Mus musculus: one gene and its partners. The main gene of each other region encodes a partner of the protein of the gene in region 3 in a complex. Links are inferred from orthologs where the notes say so. Each region holds a gene or a part of one and is shown on either strand. Other genes may lie near its edges.

The links.
Region 1: the proteins of Ccdc151 (region 3) and Ccdc114 are in contact, whole or in part, in a cryo-EM structure (PDB 9CPB), measured with the Bos taurus proteins. The link is inferred for Mus musculus from reciprocal best matches to the Homo sapiens genes ODAD3 and ODAD1. Residues at the interface, in NP_001095517.1 of Bos taurus: Gln69, Leu73, Lys76, Ile77, Leu79, Leu80, Asp83, Arg84, Phe87, Tyr88, Thr91, Asn94, Ile95, Asn98, Gln99, Thr101, Ile102, Leu105, Arg106, Glu108, Thr109, Leu112, Gln113, Gln115, Leu116, Leu119, Gly122, Asp123, Val126, Ala129; in XP_024834988.1 of Bos taurus: Leu31, Gln32, Gln34, Cys35, Met38, Glu41, Arg42, Tyr45, Val49, Arg52, Ile53, Gln56, Leu57, Glu59, Ile60, Leu63, Glu64, Val66, Arg67, Leu70, Arg71, Gln73, Ile74, Ala77, Gln78, Asp86, Arg89, Leu90, Ser92, Met93.
Region 2: Ccdc151 (region 3) and Efcab1 share a complex: the UniProt entries of both Homo sapiens proteins name them as parts of the outer dynein arm-docking complex. The link is inferred for Mus musculus from reciprocal best matches to the Homo sapiens genes ODAD3 and CLXN.
Region 4: Ccdc151 (region 3) and Ttc25 share a complex: the UniProt entries of both Homo sapiens proteins name them as parts of the outer dynein arm-docking complex. The link is inferred for Mus musculus from reciprocal best matches to the Homo sapiens genes ODAD3 and ODAD4.

The regions. Positions count from the first base shown.
Region 1 is NC_000073.6:45,940,765-45,945,728, forward strand, and holds part of Ccdc114 (coiled-coil domain-containing protein 114), read left to right. Parts: intron 1-895; coding exon 896-1,083; intron 1,084-1,294; coding exon 1,295-1,429; coding exon of another isoform or gene 1,430-1,813; coding exon 1,814-1,896; intron 1,897-1,996; coding exon 1,997-2,165; intron 2,166-4,964. UniProt on the Homo sapiens protein: Component of the outer dynein arm-docking complex (ODA-DC) that mediates outer dynein arms (ODA) binding onto the doublet microtubule. Involved in mediating assembly of both ODAs and their axonemal docking complex onto ciliary microtubules.
Region 2 is NC_000082.6:14,904,661-14,910,420, forward strand, and holds the start of Efcab1 (EF-hand calcium-binding domain-containing protein 1), read left to right. Parts: upstream 1-1,985; 5' UTR 1,986-2,094; coding exon 2,095-2,152; intron 2,153-5,760. UniProt on the Homo sapiens protein: Component of the outer dynein arm-docking complex (ODA-DC) that mediates outer dynein arms (ODA) binding onto the doublet microtubule. Seems to regulate the assembly of both ODAs and their axonemal docking complex onto ciliary microtubules.
Region 3 is NC_000075.6:21,991,746-21,996,709, reverse strand, and holds part of Ccdc151 (coiled-coil domain-containing protein 151), read left to right. Parts: intron 1-1,331; coding exon 1,332-1,502; intron 1,503-1,581; coding exon 1,582-1,683; intron 1,684-1,771; coding exon 1,772-1,897; intron 1,898-3,049; coding exon 3,050-3,172; intron 3,173-3,682; coding exon of another isoform or gene 3,683-3,685; coding exon 3,686-3,838; intron 3,839-4,701; coding exon 4,702-4,862; intron 4,863-4,945; coding exon 4,946-4,964. UniProt on the Homo sapiens protein: Component of the outer dynein arm-docking complex (ODA-DC) that mediates outer dynein arms (ODA) binding onto the doublet microtubule. Involved in mediating assembly of both ODAs and their axonemal docking complex onto ciliary microtubules.
Region 4 is NC_000077.6:100,543,403-100,549,076, forward strand, and holds the start of Ttc25 (tetratricopeptide repeat protein 25), read left to right. Parts: upstream 1-2,205; 5' UTR 2,206-2,398; coding exon 2,399-2,506; intron 2,507-5,674. UniProt on the Homo sapiens protein: Component of the outer dynein arm-docking complex (ODA-DC) that mediates outer dynein arms (ODA) binding onto the doublet microtubule. Plays an essential role for the assembly of ODA-DC and for the docking of ODA in ciliary axoneme.

The DNA of each region.
Region 1 (4,964 bases), on a different chromosome or scaffold from region 3:
AAGTCTGATCTCTTACCTTTGCCACCCTCCACCGCTCACCCCTACCACCTAGGTCCAGCTTCTCCACACCTTGGCTGGCTTTTGACCTCTGGCCATTTGTCTAGATGTACTTCTGTCTTTGGTGTCTTGTTTTCAACTTGCTCTCTAGTTCTAACTTCGAGGAAGGGAATCCGATTAGCTAGTAACTCTCTGCGGATGACATATCGGTGAGTTCATTGAGCCACCTGGGGTGAGCTGTCAGGTGGGGCACAGGGACAGGCTGGTTTCTGTTCTGGGAAGGTATGGCTTGACCAGCCCACAGGTTCTTGGGACTGGGCCTTGCTCTGGAGAGGCCATCTATGTTAGAGAATGACTAACTAGCCCTCAGGGGTGGCTCTGGGAGGAACCCCCCAGGGCAGGCAGAGATGAGATCAGGATTAGAATAGCCTAGGGCAGGGGCTCTTTGCCATTGACCCGTCAAAGCATCAGGCCCTTATTCCCAGCCAAGCAGGGCAGGCACATCATTCCTGCCTTCATGGGGTGTGCTTGAGTATGGAAAAGACCCAACTCCCCAGTCTTACTCATTTCTAGCTACAGACCATCCAACCTTCAGTGTCACCCAGGCTGTCCTTTCTGAGTCTGGGAATAATCTCTGGCAGGGCCTGACTACCTCCTTTGGCCCTCTGAGTAAATGATCAGATGATTCCTGGCCTCTGTGTACCCTGTGTGTCCACCAATCTTGTCATAGCTAGTCCTGATCCTGATCTAGGTCTTCCAGCCTAGAACTTTCTCTGCTCTTTGTGAGCATCCTTGGGAAGCCACCTGGCACCGTCCTTTTGTAGGCCCAGGCTGACCCCAGCTCAGTCACCCATCTTTTTTTTTTTTTTTTTTGACTTACATGCCCCTCCTGTCCCAGGGAAGAGGCCAAGACCAAGATGGGCATGCTTCAGGAGCGCGCAGAGAAGGAGCTGGCTCAGAGTGATACGGAGGCACAGATCTTGCTGCGACAGATATCGCATCTGGAGCAGCTGCATCGATTCCTTAAGCTCAAGAACGATGAACGACAACCGGATCCCCGTGTGGTGCAAAAGGCAGAACAGCGAGGTGAGGCCAGTGCTTGCACCGAGCACCTAACTCAGGGCCACTACAGCTATCATCATCCCTAGGCCCTCAGAGAGGGTGAAGCCCCTTAGGAGAAGGTGGGGCAAAGACTAGTAGAGCTGGTGAGCCGGCAGGGCAGAGCCTGTTGGAGAGCGGTGGGGAGTGGGGGCCTTATCCAGGATGCAAACCCTCAACTTCCCCCTGTTACCCATAGACTGGGAAGTGTCAGAAGGACTCCGAAAGACCTCCCAAGAGAAGCTAGTGCTGCGTTATGAGGACACTCTGGGCAAACTGGCCCAGCTGACCGGCGAGAGCGACCCTGACCTTTTGGTGGAGAAATACCTGGAGTGTGAGTGGGCAGAGTGGACGAGAGGAGGCGGGGCTACCCAGCACCACCCAAAGCACGGCACACTTGCCTTGCCCTGGGGATCCTGCCTTGTCTCCAGTTTTCATTCTGTTGCTTGGTGTGCCTCCCTTGCATCTGCCTCTGTTTCTTTCCATATGTCTCAGACTTCCTCTCTCCATATCTGTCCCTTGACCCTCTCTGTCTGTTTCCTTGGGCCTTCCCAAATCTTTTACCAACCCTGTCTTTCTCGGTGTGTTGGTGCCCTTCTGTGGCTGTTCCTGTTTCATCTGTCTCTGTTTTTCTGCCTTTGTTTCTGTCGCCTTGCAACCCTTAGTGATCCTTCTGTTTCTAACTCCATCCCTCTGGACCCCCCCTGCACACCCCCAGTGGAGGAACGCAACTTTGCTGAGTTTAACTTCATCAATGAGCAGAACTCCGAGATACACCACCTTCAGGAGGAGATCAAAGAGGTGAGCAAGGCCCACCCTCCTTACGCCGCCCCACCTCCCAGACTCCCATACCCTCTCCCCAGGCCTAGAGCGGACCCAGCTCCAGCCCCTGTCTCTGCAGATGCAGGAAGCCTTAGTCAGTGAGCATGCCAGTCAGGATAAACAGCGCATGCAGCAAGAGCAGCAGTGCAAAATGTTGCAGCAGGATGTGGACAAGATGTGTTCTGAGTCAGAGCAGCTGGAGGGTCGCTTCCAGGTGCTCCGAGGTCAGCTGGAAAAAATCAAGACTGGTAAGTCCCGCAAGGTTCCCTCTCCCAGCCGGAAGCTCTTCCTTAGGAAGGATGCAGTGGGCTTGTGGGGAGCTGGCCATGAAGGCATTACGCGTTTGCTACTCCGTCCTTCCCTTGTCTTTTGTCAGCCCATCTGGGGTGCACCTGTCCGTCCATCCATCCATCTGTCTGTTCGTGAATGTCATGTTGAGTCATAAGGCTAAGGTACTTTTATATTCACTAGAGAATGCTAATCAGCTCTCCAGAGCAAGTCCACATTTTCTTTTTTTTTTAACTTTTTTTTTTTTTTTTTTAAGATTTATTTATTCATTATATGTCAGTACACTGTAGCTGTCTTCAGACACTCCAGAAGAGGGAGTCAGATCTCATTACGGATGGTTGTGAGCCACCATGTGGTTGCTGGGATTTGAACTCTGGACCTTTGGAAGAGCAGTTGGGTGCTCTTACCCACTGAGCCATCTCACCAGCCCCACATTTTCTTTAAAAAGAACCATTTATTTTATGTATGAGTGCCCTATTTGCATGTACACCTGCATGCCAGAAGAGGGCAGCAGATCCCATTACAGATGGCTGTGAGCCACCAAGTTATTGCTGGGAATTGAACTCAGGACCTCTGGAAGAGCAGCCAGTGCTCTTAATCTCTGAGCTATCTCCCCAGCCCCCAATTTCTCTTTTCTTTTGTTTTCTTTCTCCTTTATCTCTTTCTCTCCCTTGCTTGCTTGCTTCCTTCCTTCCTTTCTTTCTTTTTTCTTTAGTTGTTGGTTTGTTGTTGTTGTTGTTGTTGTTTTGGTTTGTTTTTTTTTTTTTTTTGAGACAGGGTCTTATTATGTAGCGCTGGCTGTCTGAACTCACTCTGTAGACCAGGCTGGCCTCAAACTCACAGGGATTGGTCTGCCTCTGCTTCCCAAGTACTGGGGTTAGAGTTGTGGGTCACAATGGCAATTTCTCCTTTTATGCCTTTGTGTGCACATATGTGTGTCTCAGATGTAGCTGTGCCCACTCCCTAGTGTCTCCCCATCACATTCTGTTATCACTACAGCACTCACTCAATGTGGTTCCCAAGCTGTCAGTCTTTACTAAGATTGTCACCCTATTGTTATCTCTAAGACATTCCTGTTTGGCTTTGTGCTCTGTGTGTGTGTGTGTGTGTGTGTGTGTGTGTACACGAGTGTGCCATGGCACATATGTGGAGGTCAGAGGGCAACTTGTAGTAGTTGGTTCTCTCCTTTCCCCATATCTTGGGATCAAATTCAAGTTGTCAGGCTTGACAGCGAGGATCTCCACCTACTGAGCCGCCTTACCAACACATATTTTATTTACTTAAATAGTTGGGGAGAAAATAGTTGAACATCTTAAAAATTAGATTTATATTTTTTATGTAAGAATGGACTGCCTACATTGTATGTATTACATCATATGCTTGTGTGATGCTTGAAGACGTCAAAAGAGGGGATTGGATCCCCTGGAACTGGAGTTACAGATGGTTGGGAACCACCATGTAAGCGCTGGGAATTGAACCTGGGTCCTCTGCAAGAGCAACAAGTGCTCTTAACTGTCCATCTCTCCAGCCGCCATTTTTTAGTATTGAATTAGATTATTTTTCTTGTTCTGAGGTATAGGGATTGTTTTGATTCTGGAAATACTTTTTTTGTATGGTTGCATACTCTCCAACTTCTTGCATGAACTGAAATTTATCTAACGCTTGATACAACGTACTCAACTCCCTTTTGTAATTAGTTCTGGCTGTCTTTGCTACCTTGTGGGTCCTTCTTTCTTCCACCCTTCCAACCTCATAACACTAGGTAAGTGAGAAAAGGAAAGAGATGCCTGGATAAAGTCAGGGGTCAGAGCGGGGCACTATCGTTAGACTACTTCCTGCTCACTGGGCGTGTTGAATTCCTTGAGGCAGGCTTCATCTTTGCCATTAGGATATCTGCTCTGCTCTTGTTTCTTCTTTGTGCATGACGACTTAACAAATTGTGATCATCGGCAACCAACCCACAACCAAGAACCCACCAACCAACCACAGCCCACCCCACCTCTCAGGGCCCTAGCATGTATAGAGCGTCTGAAAAGACCCCAGCATTCCAAATGTCACAGATCACAGAAACTATCTGCAGCTGGCCAAACCCCAGCTGGCATAGTCAGCTGCTGTGGACAGTCTGAAGCATCCCCAAATCCCATACCTGGGATGAAGACGAAAACATATTCTTATAATATTTCTATGTATTTTAAAGAAACCAAAACTCCAAAATTGTCAGTACAATCAGTGGCTTTGTGGTATAAGAAGTCTTTACCTATTTGAGGTTGCAAAGGTATTTTTTACTAGAATTTTGTTTGGCTTCTGCCTTAGGGTTTTTATTGCTGTGAGGAAACACCATGACAAAAAATAAGTTGGGGAGGAAAGGGTTTATTCAGCTTCTACTTCTACATTGCTGTTCATTACCAAAGGAAGCCAGAGCAGGAACTCAAACAAGAGCAGGAACCTGGAGGCAGGAACTGCTGCAGAGGCCATGGAGGGATGTTGCTTACTGGCTTGCTTCCCCATAGCCTGCTCAGCCTGCTTGCTTCTAGAACCTAGAACCATCAGCCTAGGGATGGCACCAACCACAAAGGGCTTGGCCCTCCATTTAATTGAGAATATGCCTTACAGCTGGATCTCATGGAGGCATAGCCTGAGCTGAGGCTCCTTCCTCTCTGAGAAGTCTAGTTGACACACACCAACCAGTAAGGTTCCAATGTGAGAGTCTGGGCCTGTCCCAGATGAAGTCACATGTGTAGGGAACTGGGTGCTGTTAT
Region 2 (5,760 bases), on a different chromosome or scaffold from region 3:
CTAAAATGTAACAATTAGTGGAAGGAATCCATTCAGAAGAAGCTCAATGGAATTGTCAGCAACAGCTGTGGACGTTCTGGATATAATCAGGCAACAAATGATCCCTGACTTAAATCTCCTACCTCTGCAATAGCCAACTCAAAATTCATCATGAATTTAATTTATGGACTTAAAATGCAAAACCATATAGATTTAAAAAAAAATCCAATCTTGCCCAAGATGTGAGTGAATATTTGAGCAGACAGAATACATGGAAGATGCCATAACGGTGAAGACAGCCCTACTTGATCAGCTAAGGATGCAAGTTAAAACTCATGATGTCAACACATACCCATTAGAATGGTTGTGTTTGCTTTAAAAGCTGAACAAACAAAAACAGTGAGGGCACCAAGTACAGACAGCGATGAGGAGACACTAGGCTGTGGCCTCACAATGTTCAGACTCTCTGGAAAGCAATCTCACAATTTCTAAATTGCAATCATACAGCTGCCATATGTACTAGCAATCCTAGGTGCTCATTCCAGAGAACTTAACTCTCATTCATATGAGAAATGGTCTATAGTATCTTCCCTGTTAAGAGCTTAAAACTGAAGGCTGAAGGTCTTCAGTGCATGGGTGTATAAACAGAATATGGCACATATAAATCATGGAATACTATTCAGCAATAAAAAGGCAAAATTTCCTGGATGGATTTGCAGAAAATTATACTGATGGAAAGGACTCTCAGTAGGTTATATTCTGTGTGGCTGATGTCTTATTACCATTTCAAAATTATAAAATTAGACAATTATAAATTTGAGTGATTTCAAGAGACTAGGGAAGGGTTTTCAATAGAAGAACTAGGTGTGGCTGCAAACTGACCACTTGAAGGATTCCGCATCATGGAAAAATTCTCCAATTTGTCTCCATGGCAACTTCTGGGCTGTTATGTCAGTCTATGTAGTTTGGAAAGTTGTTACTGTTAGCATTTTATCTAGGCTCCGCCCCATAGTTACCTGGCAACAGCCAGGTGTGCCTGACTCACTATAAAAGGGGCTGCTTGCCCCCTCCTTTCTCTCTCTTGCCTTCTTGCTTCTGCTCTGTCCTCTTGTCCCTTACCCTCTTTCTCCCCATTCCCTTCCCCCTCTCTCTCCATGTGCTCATGGCCAATCTCTACTCCTCTCTTTCTCCTCTTCCTCCTCCTCCTCCTCCCCTCCTCCTCTTCCTTCTCCTCCTCCTTCCTCTCTTCTCTCTCTCTCTCTCTCTCTCTCTCTCTCTCTCTCTCTCTCTCTCTGCCTTTCTCTGCCTCTACAACCCTCGCAACTCCCCTCCTTATGCCCTAAATAAACTCTATTTTATACAAAACAACAAAAAGAGTATGTATCTTTAATTAACGAACTTAAAATATGACATTGGCCTTTTGCAAATTTGACTGAAAACTCCCACTCCAAAGAAGGAGGGGGGAGAGACAGAGAGAGAGACAGAGAGAGACAGAGACACAGAGAGATCTACTTTCTGAGTAACACAGTTCAAACCGTAATTGTTCAGATTCCCTTCTGATAATTGCTTTAATTACACACCTATTTCCCTCCAGCATCCCCACAGATCTTGAAAACCTGAATCGCTCTTGTGCTCATCATACAAAACATCTATCCAGCTTGCACACCTTACTCTTCTGATTATGATGTAGTCTTGAGGGGCTGTGAACAGAAATGATGGTGTGACAAGTGAAAATAGAAATTTCCAACATGGCAAACAATACAGTCTGCAAAGTGTCAGGCTGAAACGCTGCAACTGGGACTAAATGCAGGCACAGTGTCTGTGCTGGGCAGTCAGGACTGGCAGGCTTTACTGAGCTGACCAAGAGGCCCCCTGACAGGAGCCAATCAGTGTCCCACCCAGCCGTTGCCATGGCTGCTCTATGTACAGAGGCCGCTTTCACCTGAGGCGTTGCCATGGCCACACTGTCTGTTAGGGCCGCAAATGCGCAAATGCGCAAATGCGCAGAGCCAAGCTGGCTGCACCAAGCTCCCTCAGCCTGGGGCTCCGGAGCCGGAGCGTCCTGGCACTCTGCTCCAGATGACACTCTAAGATCTAATATTATTAACACCCATCATGAACAGAAAGAAGCTGCAGAAGTTGACGGACACCTTAACTAAAAATTGCAAGCACTGTAAGTAAGAACTGAATGCAAGAGTTCCTATGACTTCTGGGCCAGATCTCTTTCTACCCAGTCTCTACTTCCTGCTTCCACCAGTAATGGCCCCTCCACGCTCCTCCTCAAGAGGATCGGAAAGAGAATCCCTTTGTGGAGTTCCAACTCCTTGGGAGGCATCCATCCTACCCTTTTATAACTGGGACAAGTTCCAAGCTGCCCGAGCTCCCTCATAGACATTCACTAAATTCAAAGATCTCTTTATTTGCTTTTAAGTTAGAGAAGCAATATGGTGTGTATCTGGGAGGCATGTGGCTTCAGCTTTAGACAGGTTGAAAAGGATGCCCCAGAAAAACACCAGAATCAAGAAAGCAGCAGAGCCTTTACTTACTTTCTGGCTCTTTCTAGAGAGGAAAAAACAAAAACAACAAAAGAAAACAAAACGCTCTGAGGTCTAAGCTCTGGAAGTGTGATAAGAGATCCATAAAGAAAACAGTCGTGCATGCATCCTGAACACTTTTAAGAAAGAGACTTGCGGTGGTACAGACACTGTCTTCCGTAGAGGCATTTCATTGAAAAGTATATTGCTCAGCAAATCTAAGACGGTAAAGAATCTGTTCCCAGTTTTAGATGCTCAATTTCCAATTCCCAATCAGGTCCATAGGTAAAGGAGATCTTGCAGGTGACCACACATGAGAGCATTGTACTCAGACAGAAAAACAGCTGTTCTTGAGCTGAGAAGCAGTGTGTGGATCATTGAGATGAGGGCAGTATTGTTTGATGTGTGAATTTAGAAGCTATGTGATGGTCGAAGAGATACTGGTCACAATGAAAATGGAGAGGTCACATCTTCAAACCAGCTCCATTGTGTGAAGGTGTGGATGTGAACTTCTAATGTAGCTCTGGAGGTTTCTGGCCTAGCACCTTTATATCATTTGTATCTGATACAATGTGTGAGAATTGATGTCACGGGGGTAGTGCCCCAACTGAAAACTATGATATACTATTATACTGTGAGCATCTTAAAATTCTCAGAAAATGGCAGTCATTTAAGGTGTTTATAAATTTGATAAGAAATTGTGTTCTTTTGTGGTTTTCCTGAAATGCTTCCATTTCTGGGAGAATATATGCTATTTTGAAAATGAGTAAAAACATTTCCAATGAATACTCACAACATTAATAACTGGCACACACAATGTTTATTTGATTAAGTCTGCTTCATAAGTACACAATTCTTCACTAACAGTGACAACAACTCAAAAATAATGAAGTAAGGGTGTTTTCCCTATTTCCAAGAGCCATACACCGTCTAATACAAAATTCAATGCCAGGCTTGAGAAACCTCCAGTTGAGTTATTGACTAGGGGAATACAAGAGATTCCCAAGACAATATGGGCCTCAGCTGTTCCCTTTGTCTTCCAGAGCTTGAAAGTGAGATCCTATTGCTGAAGATGTCATACACTCAAGAGACAGAATTCCTAGAAATTGAGCTGGAGCTGGCCTGGAAACCTCCCTGAGGCCTAGCTCTTATATCTTAAAGTGTTGTGCAAGCGGCCAAGGGAGAGGAGCAACCAATCAGTGGACCTAGCCAGAGAAAGGCCCATGAGCCAGGAAAATGACTGGACAGGCACACGATCCACAGTGGTGGCACTTTTATCTTTCAAGTAACCACCAGCTGTTTAATTGGACATAGTAGGAGAGGCCTCATGTCTGGTACTATAAACCTAGCCAACTAACCATGGCTGGAAGGATCATGAACCTTAGACTAGAACCTACAATTGCCATTTTCCTAAACCAGTATAATTTCTAACTATATTCTAAATAATTACTCTTGTAGCCACAAATAAGTAGTTCTCACTCTGCATCAAGTAAGTCTCTTTTTTCAACAGTTAGTGACTATTTCAAAGATCTACAATGTGTCATGATACAAAGAATAAGGGACCATGAGGTACCTAAGCCCAATTGATAGATGTACAACACATCTATCAATCTCTGAGTCTTATTTCTAAGACTCAGAAAAAAATCAAAGAAGAGGGAGAAGAAAGATTTTAAGAGTCAGGAAACCAGGATGCTACTAGATAGCATTCCTAGACATGACCAGGAAAATGCCCTCTACTTAGTCTGGCTAAGGGTTTATCTATCTTGTTGACTTTCTCAAAGAATCAGCTTCTAGTTTTGTTGATTCTTTGCATAGTTCTTTTTATTTCTACTTGGTTGATTTCAGCCCTGAGTTTGATTATTCACTGCCTTCTACTCCTCTGGGTGTATTTGCTTCTTTTTTGTTCTACAGCTTTCATTTGTGCTTTCAAGCTGCTAGTGTTTGCTCTCTCCAGTTTCTTTTTGGAGGCACTCAGAGCTATGAGTTTTCTTCTTAGCACTGCTTTCATTGTGTCCCATATGTTTGGGTATGTTGTGGCTTCATTTTCATTAAAATCTAAAAAGTCTTCAATTTCTTTCTTTATTTCTTCCTTGACCGAGTTACCATTGAGTAGAGTGTTTTTCAGCCTCCACATGTATTGTGGGCTTTCTATCTATTCTTTTTGTTGTTATTGAAGACCAGCCTGAGTTTGTGATGATCTAATAGGATGCATGGGATTATGTCAATCTTCTTGTATCTGTTGAGGCCTATTTTGTGACTGATTATGTGGTCAGTTTTGGAGAAGGTACCATGAAGTGCTGAGAAGAAGGTGTACTCTTTAGTTTTAGGATAAAATGCTCTATAGATATTTGTTTCATAACTTCTGTTACATTCACAGTGTCTCTGTTTAGTTTCTGTTTCCATGATCTGTCCATTGATGAGACTGGTGCATTGAAATATCCCACTGTTATTGTGTGAGGTGCAATGTGTGCTTTAGGCTTTAGCAAAGTTTCTTTTATAAATGTGGGTGCCCTTGCATTTGGAGCATATATGTTCAGAATTGAGAGTTCATCTTGGTAGATTTTACCTTTGATGAGTATGAATTGTAACTCCTTATCTTTTTTGATAAGTTTAGATTGAAAGTCGATTTTATTTGATATTAGAGTGGCTACTCCAGCTTGTTTCTTCAGACCATTTGCTTGGAAAATTGTTTTCCAGCCTTTTACTCTGAGGTAGTATCTGTCTTTGTCCCTGAGGTATGTTTCCTGAATGCAGCAAAATGTTGAGTCTTGTTTATGTATCCAGTCTTTTATTCTATGTCTTTTTATTGGGGAACTGAGCCCACTGATATTAAGAGATACTAAGGAAAAGTAATTGTTCTTCCTATTACTTTTATTGTTAAAGGTGGTGTTACATTTATGTGGCTATCTTCTTTTTGGCTTATTAAAAGAAGATTATTTTCTTGCTATTTCTAGGGAGTAGTTTCCTTCCTTGTGTTGGTGTTTTCCATTTATTATCCTTTGAAGGACTAGAGTTAGGGAAAGATATTGTGTAAATTTGTTTTTGTCATGGAATACATTGGTTTCTCTATCTATGGTAATTGAGAGTTTTGTTGGGTATAGTAGCCTGGGATGGCATTTGTGTTCTCTTAGGGTATGTATGCCATCTACCCAGGATCTTTTGGGTTTCATAATCTCTGGCAAGAAGTCTTGTGTAATTCTGATAGGTCTGCCTTTATATGTTACTTGACCTTTTTCCCTTTCTGCTT
Region 3 (4,964 bases):
GCCTGAGTATAGGTGATGCCAGGAACCCACCTCTTGTGCAGTGAGACTCACCCTGTGGCCACATGCCAATTCCAGTACTGCATCAGCTAATCTTTATGAGAGAGAGAGGGAGAGGGAGAGGGGGAGGGGGAGGGGGGAGGGGGAGGGGGAGGGGGAGGGAGAGGGAGAGGGAGAGGGAGAGAGAGAGAAGAAAGGGAAAGGAAAAGAAAACAAAAAAGAAAAAAGATCCTTAAAAAACAGAACAAACAAAAACCCCAGAGCTGGAGCAATGGCTCAGTGGTGTGGAGCACAGAGGACCTGGGTTTCAGTGCCAGCACCCACGTGGCTGCTTACAACTGTCCGTAACTCCAGCTGCAGGGAATCCAATGCCCTCTTCTGGCATCCTGGCACAGATACACAGGCAGACAAAACACCATTACACATAAAATTAAAAATGAAGTAAAAATATAAGTAATGTTATGGGAGTTGAACTAGGAACCTGGGGAGGGGCTCAGTCAGTGACTTTGTGTTTGCTGTGCAAGGGTGAGAACCTGAGTCCTATTTTCAGAACCTAAAATCTGAGTCTGGGAGCTAGAGAGACGGTTCAGTGGGTAAGAACACTGGCTATTCTTCCAGAACTCCTGAGTTCAATTCCCAGCAACCACATGGTGGCTCAGAACCATCTTTAGTGGAATTTGATGCCCTCTTCTGGCATAAAGGTATATATGCAGACAGAACACACACACATACACACACACACACACACACACACATACACACACAAAAATAATTTAAAGTCAGGCATGGTGGCATTTGCCCTTAATCTCAGCACTCTGGAGGCAGATCTCTGTGAGCTTGAGCCTAGCCTGGTCTAAAGAGTGAGTTCCAGGACAGCCAGGGCTACACAGAAAAACCCTGTCTTGAAAAACAAAAAACAAAACAAACAAAACTAATATGATCCCAACACCCAGGAGGTGGATGTAGAAAAATCAGAAGTTCATCTCTTGCTGCATACAGAGTTCAAAGCCAGCCTAGACTAGACTACATAAGACCATGTCTTTTAAAAATAAAAAGTAAAAGAGAAATGGGACTAGCTCACAGGTATAGCTTCTGCCCAACTGCGCAAGGCTCAAATTTTCCTATGGGCATGCACACACACACACACACACACACACACACACACACACACACGCTCACTCACTCACTCCGTTAGAAAAAAGAAAAGCATTGGATGCCAAGGGTTCTGGAAGTCAGGTAGGAGTCCGGAGAGACAAGGGCTTCCAAGAAAACAGCTACTCATGGACTTGGGATCCCGAGTGAGCTGAGAATCTGCTCTCCCTCATCCCCTGCAGCAGGCCCTGGAGCACCTGGAGCACCAGTTGAGGGAGAAGATGAACCAGCTGAATGCCTTGCGACACCAGGTAATACTGCGGCAGAAACGGCTGGAGGACCTGAGGCTGCAGCACAGCCTGCGCCAGCTGGAGATGGCAGAGGTCCAAGACAGCAACATGGAGGCTGCCAAGGTGGGGCTACTGAGGTCTGCGGGGGGTCTTGGGGAGGCACGAGGGGTGGCAGGAGGAACTTAACCCTGCTATCCCCTAGACCATGCGCAACCTGGAGAATCGGCTGGAGAAGGCCCGGATGAAGGCAGAGGAGGCAGAGCACATCACTAATGTGTACCTGCAGCTCAAGTCTTACCTCCAGGTGGGAACACTTTGTAGAGAGAGGTAGGTGACGGGGTGGACCTGACCAGGGACAGCAGTCACAAGCCTTGCCTCTCTCCACATGCCAGGAGGAGAGTCTCAACTTGGAGAGCCGGCTAGATTCCATGGAGGCTGAGGTGATGAACACCAAACATGAGGTTCAAGAGCTGAAAGTAGTGAATCAAGAGGCTATAAATGCCCGGGACATTGCCAAGGTACTAGCCTGCCTCCCCGGACGGTGGGGGGGGATCCTTCCCAGACGCCATGGTTTTATATGACTTTTCCTGGGAAGGTGGTATTTCCTAGTCCCACATAAAACACTGCCCACCGACAGGTGGGTAGATGCATGCTTTTAATCTCAGTGTTTGGAGGCCAAGGCAGGAGCTCAGTGAGTTCCAGGCCGGGGCAGCCAGGGACCACTCCACAAAGACCAACTTGGCTAGCACTAGGTTTGTTGGCTTCCTCGCACAACATGACTGAGGCACTACTGGCATGAAAGCCACATGCATCTCTAGGGTTCCGTTCATCAGTGTCACCTTAGTCTTACTTAGGGTTTCCATTGCTGTGAACCGACACCATGACCAAGGCAACTCTTCTGAAGGACACTTAATCAGGGCTGGCCTAAAGGTGCAGAGGTTCAGGCCATTATCATCAAGGCAGGAGCATGGCAGCATCCAGGCTGGCACGGTGCTGGAAGAAAAGCTGAGATTTCTACATCTTGTCCTGATGGCAACCAGGAGAAGACTGGCATCCTCAGGCAGCTAGAAGGAGGGTGTCAAAGCCCACCCCACAGTGACACACTTGATCCAACAAGGCCACACCTATTCCAACAAAACCACACCTCATAACAGTGCCAAGCAGTCAAACACATGAGCCTGTGGGGGCCAAACCTATTCACACCACCACGCCCATTCATTGTAACATGGGGAGGAGCCTTATGAATCTTGTTTCTTCTTTCTTTTGGCGGGGGGTGGTTTCGAGACAGGGTTTCTCTGTATAGCCCTGGCTGTCCTGGAACTCACTCTGAAGTTTCTTCAGAGAAGAAACTCAGCGGCCTCGAACTCAGAAATCTGCCTGCCTCTGCCTCCCAAGTGCTGGGATTAAAGGCGTGTACCACCACTGCCCAGTACGTGAATCTTGTTTCTTGAGCATTGTAAGTTTCATGAACTTCCTGAGCCTTAAGCCTCCTCCTTCCTCTACTGGGGAGTGTTTCAATTAAGAGAAAATAGTTCTGGAATACCAAGGGCTCAAGGGACCCTAGTCAGAATCTAATTCTCTTTAAGTCTTTCCTGGCAATCACATTGCTGTTGTGCCCGCTGCTCCTCTTATAGCCTGGATAGATATCAGGTGCCCTGTCTGTCCTCTAGAACCAGCTGCAGTATCTGGAGGAGTCTGCGATCAGAGATCGCAAGAAGCGCGAGCATTACATAACTGACTGCAAGAAGCGGGCAGAAGAGAAGAAACTTCAGACAGAGCGTATGGAGCGCAAGGTGTGCACATCTAAGGGTGTAGGGCTTTGCCAGCTCAAACCAGAGGGTCCCAGCCCTCACCTGGTACACACATCCTGACCTAGAGACTTCCCAACCATGCCAGTTGTCCTAACCCCAACCCCTCCCTTACTCTGCCCCCATTTGACCCAATGATTCCTCTCACAATCTCACCTCAGCCTCTTTCCTGGGATAGGCCGTGGCCTCCAGATCTGCCCTGGACTATCTGACCCTATACTCATCCTTCCCATTTAATTTAGGCCCTTTTGTTCTACATCTGAGTGGGGGGTCTAGCCCATCCCCTCCGGAGACTACTCCCTTCTACCATCCTGCCTTCTTACCCTGGTTCTGAAACCACCTATCTGACTCCTACCTGGACGCCTGTATCTAGTCCCAAGCCTTTGTCCTGTTCCCCACCATCTAAGCTAAGCGAGCTCCTCTCCTGGCCTCTGCCCCAAGGCCTTATCTAGAGCTGATTTTGACGGTGCCCTTGACTGTCCCCCACCCTCAAAGCAGACCCACCGAGACCACGTATTGCTGCAGTCAGAAGATACAATACAGGACCACCAGCGCCACAGGGAGGAGGAGCTGAGGCAGCGCTGGAGCATGTACCAGATGGAAGTGATGTTTGGCAAGGTCAAGGATGCCACTGGAGTAGCTGAATCGCATGTGAGTGCCTCGGGCTTGCACCAGGCAAGCAAAGGCTCCTCTCTGCTTAAAGGTGTCCTCTCCTGTCTGTTCCAGCTCCAGCTCCCGTAGAGCTGTCCACATTAGCCCTCGCTTACTTCCACTCCTCCCCTGAGCTGACTTCTTTGGTATGTCAGTCCTGGGTGTTTTATTTGTCAGGTTCTGTTTCTCAGACCATGGTGGAATCAGGGCCTGTTCTGTGCCCTACTTTTGGTAAGAGCGGCTTTGCTTTCCAAGACCTTGTGTGTCTCTGGTGCCTGTCCTGCTTCAGAACAGCACACACCCCCTGCCCCCAACCCACCCCAGTCAGTTTCTCCAGTTTAGGTTCTCTGCTGCTCCTCAAAGGGGTTAATCACCAGGAGGGCCAGGACTCTGACCTTTGTGATCAGCTGTCCAAGGTCCCTTTGCAGAAATGGGTCTAGAGCCGGTGAGATGGCTTGATGGGTAAACATGATTGCCCAAGCCTGGCAACCTGAGTGCCATCCCTGGGCCCCAAGCTGGAAAGTGAGCGCTTTCTGAAATCCACATGTGCACCTTGGCACATGCATATGCAAACGGCTGGGAGGGCTGATGGAGCTCTAGAGACACAATGTCTTTGCCCGATCTGAACTTGCTGGCACAGTCATTTTTGAATAGAGAATATTCACTGCTGTGCTGCCTTCCGCATGCAGATTTTAGCTGACTCAAATATAGGTGGGAAAGGGCATGGGGCAAAGTGCAGCCTTGGAGTAGTCGGGAGACTGACCCACACTATCCTCATACATTGTTGTGTGACAGAGAGAGGACCATAGTGTCCTCGGGGCCTCCCTTGTTCCAGGCTCTGACCAGGGATGTGTGGTCCGCAGGCGGTAGTGCGCAGGTTCCTGGCCCAGGATGAGACCTTCACACAGTTGGAGAATCTCAAGAAGGACAATGAACTGGCGTTGGCGAAGTTGAAGGAGGAGAAGCAGCGGCTCCAGAGGGAGCTGGAGAACCTCAAGTACTCGGGGGATGCTACGCTGGTGAGGTGAGGCTTCGGTGGCTGAGGGGAGGCTACGGGGACGCTGGAGTCAGCCATTGGCAGCTGCTGAACCTCCTGGCTCCCGGCAGCCAGCGGAGGCTCCACGAA
Region 4 (5,674 bases), on a different chromosome or scaffold from region 3:
GTGCAGTTATAAAGGAACCTTATGTATTCTTTTTTTTTTTTTTTTTTTTTTTTTTTTTTGGTTTTTCGAGACAGGGTTTCTCTGTGTAGCCCTGGCTGTCCTGGAACTCACTTTGTAGACCAGGCTGGCCTCAAACTCAGAAATCTGCCTGCCTCTGCCTCCCAAGTGCTGGGATTAAAGGCGTGCACCACCACGCCCGGCTAACCTTGTGTATTCTTGTTTGCTTGGTTTGTTTTCCTTTTGATATAAAGCCTTGCTAAGTGGTCCTGGCTATCCTTGAGCTCCAGGCTACCCTCTTTCTCTGTCCTGGGACTGTCTGTGTACACCACCATAACCATACCTGGCTTAGGTATTCCTTTGTCATTTCCCCCAATGGTAATCTTGAAAAACTTTTAAAAACTACAACAGGGCTGGAGAGATGGCTCAGCAGATAAGAGCACTGACTGCTCTTCCGAAGGTCCTGAGTTCAAATCCCAGCAACCACATGGTGGCTCACAACCATCTGTAATGAGATCTGATGCCCTCTTCTGGTGTGTCTGAAGACAGCTATAGTGTACTTAAAATACATAAAATAAATAAATCTTAAAAAATAACTACAATAGTCGGGCATTGGTGGCATTTGTCTTTAATCCCAGCACTTGGGAGACAGAGGCAGGCAGATTTCTGAGTTGGAGATCAGCCTGGTCTACAGAGTGAGTTCCAGGACAGCCAGGGCTACACAGAGAAACCCTGTCTCGAAAAACAAAACAAAACAAAACAAAAGAACAACAACATCAACAACCAACAAGGGTATTGGCACTAATGAAAGTCTCTGACTTTACCACATTTTCCCAAGTAATCAGTTATGGTGGCTTGAGACAGAGACTCCCCTGTTACTTGGGCTGGCCTTCACCTCACTATGTAACTGAGGCTGCCTTGAACTTGTGGCAATCCTGCTTCAGTCTCTCAAGTGCTAGAATTACAGATGTTGTGCTCATTTGTGTTTATACATTTGCCAGTAAGGACATCTTTTTTAGAGACTGAAAACGGTTTGCTTTGCTCCTACTGTGTGCTGGATTCTGTTCCTAATACATGCCCATTAAGCTGGATCCTGTTTCTGTTTTTGTGTTTGAAACTCGCTGTGTAGCCAGGGCTGGCCTGGAACTTGTTATGGAGACCAGAAAGCCTGTATCTCACAACCAACCTCCTACCTCTGTCTCTGGAGTAAGAAAATTAAAGACCCAGGCCACCAAGCCTGGCTCAGCTGAATTCTGGAAAGACAGTTTAAGACAAGATTCTGGGCTGGAGAGATGGCTCAGGGATTAAGAGCACTGGTGCTCTTGCAGAAGACCCAGGTTTAACTCCTAGCACCCAAGTGGTGGCTCAAAATCATGTATAACTCCAAGACTGTTTTAAAAAACCAATATAGTTGAGGCAGTTAACTGAGCTAGCTATCTAAGATATTATGGGTACTTAGAGGTACTGCTGTGTCTGTGTGGTGTGTGTGTGTGTGTGTGTGTGTGTGAACATGTGTGTGCTTGTGCACATGTGAATGTAGATGCCAGGGGACACTTCAGGAATGCATGTCTTTCTGTCTCTCCAGGGCTGGCTAATACAAGATGGTGCCATCACACTGGGCTGTACCAGGGTTGGGGGAACTGAAACAGAGAGCTGCATGCTTAGCATGCGCTTTACCAACTGAGTTATCCCCACAGCCATTACTCCTGAATGGCTGCAGAATTATGTCAGGCTAGACCTTAGTTTAGACTTGCTATTAGCAAGTGTTCCATAACTATGTGACATTGAAAGCTAAACCCATCACACTTTCCATTGCATTCTCATGCAAATCCTCACGTCCCTGAGGGCTCTATTATTTTCCTGTTCATTTGGCAGGTAGAACGCGTACTTTTCAGTTCCCTAATGTGCTTGGTCAAGGATCACGCAGCTAAGAAGTGACAAGAGAGAAGGCTGCCCAAGCCCTCTGACTCCGGTTCCAAAATTCTCTCTCCTTCCTAATGGGACCTGGAGTGCTTAAGCCTTAATCCTACTTGGAATTTTGCCTCCAATTCTCATTTTCTTGGCTTGCTTTGTCTGCGAGGCTTTCCACGTGGCAACTGGAGGGGAGAAGCAACCTACAAGCAAACAGCGATCACTCTGGAGCGCCAGCGTCCTGCAGCCGCCGGCCACGCGCTCAGCACTTGTCTGACCGGTGTGCGCAGCGTGGCGACACAGGCGCATGAGCACGCTGGGCGGGCTCACCCGGAGGCCTAACACCGCCAGGGGAGGGGAGGGGAGGGACCGGAAGTTAGACTATCTCTCTAGGTTGCTAAGAGACCGGGCTGTCCCAAAACAAGCCGGCGATTCTCCAGCCTCTTTTCCTTTCTGAATCTGCTTCAGAATTTCCAAAAGTAGGGTGACCATGTCGGACGGTGATATCTTAAGAAGCACTTTTCCCTCTTACATGGCAGAGGGGGAGAGGCTTTATCTGTGCGGGGAGTTCACTAAGGCCATTCAAAGCTTTACCAACGTGAGTTGCGCTTTGATCCTATTACTGTGTTGCCTTCCTCTTTTCCCCTCCTCCCTTTCCCTCTCTTCCTCCTCCCCTTCTTCTTTCCCTTCCCCTTCCTTCTCCTCTCCCCTCTTCTTTTTTTCTCTTCTTTCCTCTCTCAACCTCCTCCCCGCCTCCGCTCCTCTTTTGAGATAGACACTTGTTCTGTAGACCAGGGTGGTCTCGAACTACCCCTACTTCCTGAGAGATGACTTCCAATGTGCACCCTCATTCCCAACTTATGATTTGAAAGGAAGGTGCCCTCCTTATGTCCTCTGGAGGCCAACTCCCTATCTTGCAGTTGGCCTCTGGAATGATGGAACCCCAGCTTGCTACCTGGACCCACCACCATTGTGTTGTTGATGAAAGATTTGTGTGTATGTATACCACATGCATGCCTGGTACTTTTGGAAGCCAGAAGAGGGAACTGGATCCCTTGGAACTGGAGTTACAGGCAGTTATGTAGCACCAAATGGGTGCTGGGATCCAGATCTGGGTCCTCTACAGGAATAGTAAGTGCTGTTAACCAATAAATCAACACGATACCACCCCCCACCACACACACACACACACTTCACCACTTAAAGAAAAATATTTGTATGTGATGGGTGTTTTGCCAGCATGCATGGACCACATGCATACTTCCCTCTTAGAGTGTGGAAATGGACTGAGGGGTGTGAGCTGCCATGTAGGTGCTGGGACTTGAACCTGGGTCCTCTGGAAGAGCAGGCAGTCAGTCAGTTAGTGTTCTTAGCTGCTAAAAAATCTCCAGTCCCACCCAATTACCATTTTTTTTTCATCACCAGCAGCCCTGAGGTCCATTTTGTGGATATCATACTCCTGGTTCCCATGATATGCCACTGTCACACATAAACCCTGACTTTTGCCATTTTCTCTTATAGTTTCTCACTAATGCCTGCCAGTTGGAGACATAATGTGACCAATCATTAAATGTTTCATGATTACCTTTCTCTTGATAAATTCAGTCTCCCATCCTTAGCCACAGATTGCCCAAGAAGCTAAATGTAGAAGTCTTTGGCACAGGCTTGCCTGTAAGAAAGTTGTCGGTGAAGTTAGGGCGTACTGTAGTAACCTTATTGAAAATTACACCATTGTACCCTACAGGGATTGGGAGTCGTTTTAGGATATTAGACTCACTGCTCTAAGCAGTGTGTGTCCGTCTAGGATGTCGGGGAGCGGAAGGGGTTACTATTGTTTTCTTTGTATATATGAGGAAGTGAATATAAAAGTTAGGTAACATGCCCAAGGTCACTGCACTGAACTAGCTGGAGTAGTGGAGGAAGGATCCTGTGAGCCAAGCATTCAGACTCCAGTTGCCTGGGGTGCCAACCTCCAGACTGCAAGGTGTTCTGATAACCTTTTCCTTTGCAGGGCTGGAGACAGTGCTTAGCTGGGTAGAGTGTTTGCCTTGTGTGCATGAAGCCCTGGTTTGATCCTGCTTTTGAGTGTGTTGTCCCACACTTTCAGTCCCAGCAGCTGGCAGGTAGAGAGAGAGAAGGAACAGAGATTTAAGATCATCTATGGCTACTTAGCAAGGTCAGGGCCAGCGTGGAATACTGGAGATCCTGCCTCCAGAACAGAATAACCATTTCCTTTGCTAGAAACTATACTTTTCTTTTGGGGTGCTGGTGCTCCGACCCCACATGCTTGCCAGTTGCTCTTCTTCTGAGTAACATGAGGAGCCCATAGCCTCCTTCCTTCCTTCCTTCCTTCCTTCCTTCCTTCCTTCCTTCCTTCCTTCCTTTCTTCCTTCCTTCTTTCTTCCTTCCTTTCTCAAGACGGGACTTCTCTGTATAGCCCTGACCATCCTGGAATTTGCTCTGTAGACTGGGTTATTTCGAACTCAGAGATCCTCCCGCCTCTGCCTCCTCAGTACACACCTGAGAACTGAAGGCGTGCACCACCACACCCAGCTCTACTTGGCATAGCATCGGGGCATGGTGGTACTTGTAAATCCCAATATTCAGGGTGCTGAGACAGGAGGATTTTGAGTTTGGGGCTGGCCAGGGCTACATAGTGAGTTCAAGACACGCCTGAGCTAAACTGGCAAAACTGTTTCCAAAGAACCAAATTAAAGCAAACCCTTAAACGGAGTGTCAGCCCACTAACCAATCCCAAGACTTCCCTCAAGTCCAGCTTCTCTACCATCCCCCAATCTTTCACCTCTTTCCCTAGTCACAGCCTCTAAGAGAAATGACGACCTGATGGGCATATGGAGTTAGGAGTTCCGCCAGTTCCCCTCTCTCATGGAGCAATCTGGTCCTAGAGAAGCTGAGACAGAAAGTAAAGATGGCCCCAAGGGCAGGTTAGGAAGCCCTCCCATTCTAGGAAAGATAGCAGCTGCTTCCTCTTCCTAGAAAAGAAGGAAGGTCTTAGAGAGGGCAGACTTGGTCTGACGCCTAGGGGATCACGTCTGTCTTTCCTGGCACCAGTTTCTAGTGCAGAGCCACCTTCCCTTGGGGCAATGTTCTCTTCTGTCTTGGTTACCCCTGGACCAGGGCAGACATTCACCACAGCTGTAACAATCTCAGTCCGAAGGGGACAGGACATAGCTGGATGTGATGACTCTGCTTGTCGTCCTAGCATTTAGGGGAGCTAAGGCAAGAAGATCAGGAGTACAGGGGCAGCCTCAGCTACATAATGTGTTTGAGGCCATCGTGGATTATGTGAGGCTCTGTCTCAAGAAATATACAGACAAAGATGGCACAGAGGAGAAAGGTACTTTTGGCCAAGTCTGATTGGCTGAAATTGAACCAAGTCTTATAAGTTGTTCTCTGAGCTGTACATGCACACTGTTGCATGCATAGAACCACATGGGCCAACACGCACACGAAATTAATTTTTAAAAAAAGAAAGGAAGGAAGGAAGATTTCGGGACATGGTGGGGGAGGTGTGTGTGTGTGTGAGAGAAGTGCCCATCCTTACACTAGGGCCTCCAGATGGCTTCTGTCTTCCTCACATCTGTGTCTTAGTTCCCCAAAATAGTGATAATTCTCAGTTTACTACATGAAGAAGGAGGAGGAGGAGGAGGGAGGGGAGGAGGAGGGAGGGGAGGAGGAGGAAGAATAAGATGGTGGAGATGGTGGCTCAAGCCAGGTGTGACAGCATACATCCATAATCCCGGCT